Linked DNA regions of Arabidopsis thaliana. The protein of the gene in region 2 interacts with the protein of the main gene of each other region in a biochemical or structural test. Each region holds a gene or a part of one and is shown on either strand. Other genes may lie near its edges.

Region 1 (3,687 bases), on a different chromosome or scaffold from region 2:
TCGAATAATTTATCCTTACATCAATATAGTGTCCTCACATGCAAAACACTTGGGAAATGGTTCAGTTTTCTAAGTCTAACTAACAAAAACGAGTGCAAACCATAAAAGACTTGTGCAACATAGAATTGCAAATTATAAAGACTCAAAGAAGGAAAGCAAAATAAAGCGACTCACAAGAAAGAAAGCAGAAAAGAGAATTAGAGGTCGGGAGAGGTGCAGCAGAGAGTACCCTGAGTGAGAGCTCGGCTGCTTCTGGAAGTTGTGCTTAAGCATGACGTCAACCGCGCAGCCGCCACCGTGCTGTGTAGCGGTAACAGAGACTGAACACAACCAAGCTCCGACGGACACCTATAATGTAATCACACAAATTCATCAAAATGAGATCAAAGAAATGGCCAAAGTGAAGCAGATACATGGAATTAAACACTAAACATATGAAGCAGACCTGGAGAAGGAGAATCGGGGAAGAGGAGAAGCAGCTGGTTTAGACGGAATACGAAATCCGGCGGATGAAGCAGCAGCCGGAGAAGATCCAGTGCCAATGGGAGAATTTCGAAATGAAGATCTAATGGCGGATTTGAAAGACGAGACAGAGGATCTGCTCATGAATCTAGAAGCCATTGTAAGAGCTAGAAAATGAAGCCGGAAAAAGTGAGATCGATCTTCTTCTTCCACAGAGTTTTTATAGGGTTTTAGAACGGACGGAGGAAAGATGATGAGGAAGCCGGAAAATAAATATCTGGTTTTTCTTCTTTTTTGGGTTTAGCAATCTTTCAGATCATTATGGGCTTTAGGCCCATTAACGAAAAAGTTACGCCATCTAAACTCGCTTGATAACGAAGAATAACACCCACAAACCTTCACGAGGGACAAGAATGATAGGGTGGACGGGTCCGTGGGTGAAACTCACGACGGATGAAGCTTCCCGAGGGAATCCAGGAGCAGCCGCTGCTAGAGGAGCACTATAGGATGACCAAAGCAATTTTTTCAAATCTTTCTGCATGCATTATCATATTCTTGAAACCGAGATATTATTTTATTTTATTTTTGAATAAAGTAAAATCAAAATATTACATTTGAGCACGAAATCAATTTACTTAGAGCGAGAATTCGCAAACTGGTCATTATGACTTGCAAAAACGGACGTGAATTCAAGCATTACCTGATCATGTGTAAATGTTAGCAAGGTGTGAGCTGATAACAAAATAAGAAATTGGGATCGTATTACCTTTCCAGGATTATCAACTAAACGTAAGTAATTCTCTTGATTGATGTCTTTTGAGCTGGCTGAATGGTAATGCGGGGAGTGAAGGGTTACCGACCCTAGGCGGACAAAGTTTCTTATCAAATCAGTAGAAGACCTCGGAGTAGCATTTGGATTCAAACACTAGATCTATAAATGAAAAAAAAAAAAAAACTTGAATTACACTAAATCTATATTCGATATAATGTTAGTTTTGTGAAAAGTCATAATCTCATCTAGTTAAAAATTGGCTTTCCTTAAAATATTTCCAATCAACCAACTCCGCACAGGAAAAAAAAAAAGAAACAAAGAAATTGTATTTAACTTATAATCCCCACTAATACTTTAGCACCTTCCTACTTCTCTAATCCAATACGAAATTGAAAATAACAAAGACTAGTAAACATAATAAGGCCATTATCATTATTGGTGTGACACAAACATTAATTTAAAAATGCGGGATATCAAAATGCCAACAGAAGATTCTTATCCTTACATGTTATTAAATCCCACTATAGTTGTCACTACACATCTTTAATATTGCTAACCTTCCATTAATCAAATAAGAGGCGGTTTGGGCGGCATCCAATAATGATCTCCCACGTAATATCAACCCCACCTTTTGTCAATTGCTCTCTTCACTATATATATACAAAGAGCCCATACAAAGCCCAAATAACAGAAAATAGAAAGAAGTAACAAAACCAAAGCAAAAAATGGTGAAGATCGAAGTTGGAAGTGTGGGAGACTCATTCAGTGTATCATCTCTTAAAGCTTACTTGTCTGAGTTCATCGCAACTCTTCTCTTCGTATTCGCAGGCGTTGGCTCTGCTGTTGCGTTTGCCAAACTAACCTCTGATGGAGCCTTGGACCCAGCTGGTCTTGTAGCAATTGCAATTGCTCACGCGTTTGCTCTTTTCGTTGGAGTTTCCATTGCGGCTAACATTTCTGGTGGTCACCTTAACCCAGCCGTGACTCTTGGCCTTGCCATCGGCGGAAACATAACACTCATCACAGGTTTCTTCTATTGGATTGCTCAGTGTCTTGGCTCCATCGTCGCTTGTCTTCTCCTCGTCTTTGTTACTAATGGCAAGGTACGTACTAGTAAATTTAGTTAGAAAATTAAAAAATACATAGGTTTTGTACTTTTGTTAGGTTTGGTTTATATGTTCGTACCGTCATAGGTACGTTAGTATATTAATATATATATGATGACAAAAATATTATAACGTTTCAAAAACTAAACGGTTTAAGGGTATAAAATAATTGACTAATGAGTTGTTTCCCGGTTTGCTGCAGAGCGTACCGACCCACGGGGTCTCAGCCGGTCTAGGAGCGGTCGAAGGTGTCGTCATGGAGATCGTTGTGACCTTTGCATTGGTCTACACCGTTTACGCCACAGCAGCTGATCCAAAGAAAGGATCGCTAGGGACCATCGCTCCAATCGCCATCGGCTTCATAGTTGGTGCCAACATCCTCGCTGCTGGTCCATTCAGTGGTGGCTCCATGAATCCAGCAAGGTCGTTCGGACCAGCTGTTGTCAGTGGTGACTTGTCCCAAATCTGGATCTATTGGGTGGGACCACTTGTGGGTGGTGCACTCGCGGGACTTATCTACGGTGATGTGTTCATCGGTTCTTATGAAGCGGTAGAAACCCGTGAGATCCGAGTGTAATTGACTGGGTTTTGTGATTGCTTGATGGTTGGTTGATGTTTTGTTTGCGTGTGTATGTTTGGTGTCCACTTTCTTGCAAGATTGTATGTAGAGAAAAGAAAAAAAGTTATGTCCTGTTAATAAGAAAATGTATATACATTTCACTTCATCTCCTTTTTTTTAACGTATAGCATGTTTGGTTTCTTTCATATGTTTTTGTATTCTATGGCATTTTACTTTCATAAAGTTATCGACATAATTAAAACGTACTTAACGATCGGATTCAAACTACTTATCTTCTCTTAGATTTTTGTTGTTCTTGTGATTTGTGATTGTGAATGGTCCATTGAAATATCTAAATCCCAAATACAAATGGATTCCAGTTTCCACACCAATTTTACATCAAAGATGTGAAAATTTGCCGAATGATATGAGCAAGTCAAATTTTATTGATTTGAGATTCATGAGAAGTTACTAATAGACTATATAATTGATGAAATTGTATGGTTCGGTTAAGTATAAACCGGTATGAACCGGGTCTCTCTAGTATATAAAGAGAGTCTCAATGTAACAAACTTTCTTAAGATGAATAACAGAAACTTCTTCTTCTTCGTTCGATTCTTTGATTCTCTCTAGTTCTATTATGGTATCAGAGCGCTGGAATTCGAAGTTCTCAGCCGATTCAACACCTAACTCTCTTCACATCTTCGAGTTCTTGTTCATCTGAGCTCGTCGATCTTCTGTTTTTCGATTGTTTCTTCATAAATCAGTTAAATCAAGCTCAGATTTCG
Region 2 (3,387 bases):
CTATTTCATCTTCAGCCATTGTCAAAGACTTGGTGCCGTTGCAGACAAACGAACCGCTCTCTCTCTCTTTAAAAAGACTTATATCACACCGGACGGCTCAGATTTGAAACTGGTGAGCCACGTGGCATGTTGCTGCCATGCTCCATTTTAGTTTTAATTTAAGCGAAAGGGATTGGATTGTGAGAGACGAGTGACCTCTAGGACAGCTGTCCTATTGACAGATGTCTTACTCTTAATGGACCGTTTTCAACACGTGTCGAGGTATGGGTCGAGACTGTTGCACGAAAGCCACGGCCACTCCGTCGGCACGAGTCTCGAGGGTAAATCAAAAAAGCACAAGGACCTCTCGTTCGCTATCATTCATCCACTTTTTGTATATTCCCTCCAAACCTTACATGATATCATCACGTGTTAAAATGGATTGGGCCCTAATCCTCGAGTTCCTATATTAATTTTAGGTTTACCACTGACTGAGAAGCCCACAAAACAGTGTCAACGGCCCAACCCAAAACTGATCAAAGTATAGTTGGCTTTACCGTTTGAATTTGTTCCGTTTCGGCGACATAAAAGTAAAACGATCGCCTTTTAAGAATCTCACAGTTTGATTTCAGACCAACGCTTAAAACTTCTACAATATCACATTATTTCTCAAGTATATCATGTTCATGTCTATTACTCCACAATGACCAGACCATTGGATCGCAAAGACATCTTTTATGGTATATATCACAAAAAACAAAAACAACAAGAAACACTCATATGACTCAGACTCTACAAACATCATCGTATAGCGTTTACAGATCTCACGCGACTGCAAGCTTTACATTAACAGCGGCTACAAAGGCAGCCCAAGCCAAACACGGCTTTACCAGATTACCAGCGACCGGACTTATCTCATTAAAGGCCTTGTAGCATCCGAATAACGCAGCCGATTGACCCAACCACACCGCAAGCCCCGCTACTCCCGACCCGACGCGGAACGTAACCGGATCCCAAACCAAACAGAGCAAAAACTGAGCTAAGTAAAGATACAGAGCATTGGGCTTCTTGTGGAAGCCACCGTCAACCCATACAAGCCACGCAGCCAAACCCATCAGACCACTAGAAGCGAGACACGTTGTGTGTAGGAGCCACAGAGGTGGGATCCACGACGAGGACTTAGCTCGATTCCCGTATCCGTCGCTTGTGCCGAGGAAATACGTAGCGAAGAGCGTCACGAGCACAGGAGCCGCAACCGCTACCGTCAGAGACTTGAGACCACGTTTCGCCATCGCCCTCTTTTGATCGCGTTTTCCTTTGTTGTCGTCAGCGCTTTTCCTCTCTGTCTCGGCCATAGCCGTCGTTGCAGCGTCTCTGTCGTCTCCGCCGCGGTATCTGATGTCCTGAGAATCCATTACAAACGTCCAAAACAGAATCGAAGGAACAAGATTACTGAGATTTGAGATGTTGGATAGATGGAGAAGAAGCAGCTTGGTCAAAAGAGAGTATAATCAGGAGATGATATTAATAGACAAGAAGAAGAAGCAAAAAGGCCAAGGCTCTTGTACACGTGGCGAGTGATATGTACACGTCGAATGCTAATTAATTGTTTTTTGTTTTTAGATAACTTTGTGAAAAAGTGTGGACACGTGCTTACTCTATATGCTCATGTCTGATGCATACACACAGTTTTGGGACGATTGCGATGCTTATTTATTTATCGCTTAATACTTTTGCATTATTAAAAAATAAAACAACAATTGGGCTCTACACCGACTAAGACAAGAAGCCCAATAGGCTCATTTAATTTGGGCTAATTAGAAGAGTAGTAATATGGAAGTAGTTGTCTGTTACGCGGCGTTGGCTAGACGCTGATGCGATTTGCTCTGTTTTCATGGCGGGCGCCTCATCACCGGCGAGTTTGAGAGCTTCTCGTAGCCGTCGGCTGGGGAAGGAGACGAATCGATCCGATCTATTCAAAAAACCTGCAGTTCCATTCGCATTCGCGCTAATTCTTGCTGATGCAATCCTAGTCGCACTTATTATCGCCTATGTTCCATGTGAGAGCTATTTACCTCCTTTTTTTTTTTGCTTGCGTATCCCTCGAAATGTGCATTTGCATAGGTTTTAAACCAAATTTCGTCATTTGCCTTTAACAGACACGAAGATCGATTGGGATGCTTACATGTCACAGGTAAGTGTCAATGGTCAACTGTGGTTTCTTCAAAGTAAACTAGTAGTCTTTAAGTGAAATTTATCTAATTGGGGCAGGTTAGTGGGTTTCTCGGGGGAGAGAGAGACTATGGGAACTTGAAAGGCGATACAGGGCCATTGGTTTATCCAGCAGGTTTCCTCTATGTTTACTCTGCAGTGCAGAACTTAACTGGAGGGGAAGTCTACCCTGCTCAGGTGCTTGCAATTCCCTCTCTTTGAATCTCCTATCTTTGGATTAGCTGCGGAATTTGATCCATCCATCGCTTCATTTGTCTCAATTCTACTCTCTTACATTTTGCAGATTCTTTTTGGTGTTCTCTACATTGTCAATCTGGGGATCGTCTTGATCATCTACGTGAAGACTGATGTGGTATAAATGAAGACTTATTTCTTATCTCTTTTCATCAAGTATTTGTAGACGTTGTCAAGCGTTGTCCATTTACGATGTTAATGAACAATATTTTGGTTTTGATTTGTCTGTTTATGATGGGAGTGATTTTAGTGAATTCAGTGATGATATCTCTTCTTGTATCCTTACGTATTTCAGGTGCCATGGTGGGCATTAAGTCTACTATGTTTATCCAAGAGGATACATTCAATCTTTGTTCTCCGTCTCTTTAATGATTGTTTTGCCATGACTCTCCTACATGCATCAATGGCTCTCTTTCTCTATCGTAAATGGCATCTAGGGATGCTTGTTTTCAGGTTAGATTGCTGCTTTTGCTTCTCGATTCTTTAGATTGACTAGTCTGCTTACCCTTCTTTTTATACAGTGGAGCTGTTTCTGTAAAGATGAATGTACTTTTGTATGCTCCAACTTTGTTACTTCTGCTACTTAAGGTATATATGTTCGTGGAAGAGAATTAGTTTATGGATTTGCTTTATTATTCTTCTAGCATTGTTTTTCTTCATATGTGAAGTTTTACTATTCACAGGCCATGAATATCATTGGAGTGGTGTCTGCTTTGGCTGGTGCAGCTCTTGTTCAGGTTTCACTATATCTCTTATAAGCCTTCTTATTCACCAATTTGTATGCGTAGCATTGTTTCTCCAAGACAATTTGGAAACTTGTTAACTGTAGTTTCTTCAATGTAAATAGGTGAGTTGCATTATCCAGCGAATTATAGTTTTGATTATGCAAGAAGTACCATTCAGCTGGTCAATGAATGGTTATACAGATACTCGTGGGACTGC

Evidence for each region. Proteins that work in one complex are often made in the same cells at the same time.
Region 1: the proteins of TSPO (region 2) and TIP2;3 form a complex in vitro, tested with the Arabidopsis thaliana proteins (one study listed by BioGRID).

Annotation. Positions count from the first base shown.
Region 1 is NC_003076.8:19,247,739-19,251,425, reverse strand, and holds TIP2;3 (tonoplast intrinsic protein 2;3), read left to right. Parts: upstream 1-1,803; 5' UTR 1,804-1,959; coding exon 1,960-2,337; intron 2,338-2,542; coding exon 2,543-2,917; 3' UTR 2,918-3,177; downstream 3,178-3,687. Other genes in the region: AT5G47455 (uncharacterized protein), read right to left, coding at 230-348, 446-621. UniProt on the Arabidopsis thaliana protein: Transports methylammonium or ammonium in yeast cells, preferentially at high medium pH. May participate in vacuolar compartmentation and detoxification of ammonium.
Region 2 is NC_003071.7:19,566,708-19,570,094, reverse strand, and holds TSPO (TSPO(outer membrane tryptophan-rich sensory protein)-like protein), read right to left. Parts: upstream 1,632-3,387; 5' UTR 1,395-1,631; coding exon 804-1,394; 3' UTR 588-803; downstream 1-587. Other genes in the region: AT2G47780 (Rubber elongation factor protein (REF)), read right to left, coding at 1-19; ALG3 (asparagine-linked glycosylation 3), read left to right, coding at 1,874-2,039, 2,139-2,173, 2,251-2,388, 2,495-2,563, 2,741-2,898, 2,967-3,033, 3,129-3,182, 3,372-3,387. UniProt on the Arabidopsis thaliana protein: Stress-induced membrane protein that can bind heme and may play a role in the transport of tetrapyrrole intermediates during salt stress and contribute to the detoxification of highly reactive porphyrins in the cytoplasm.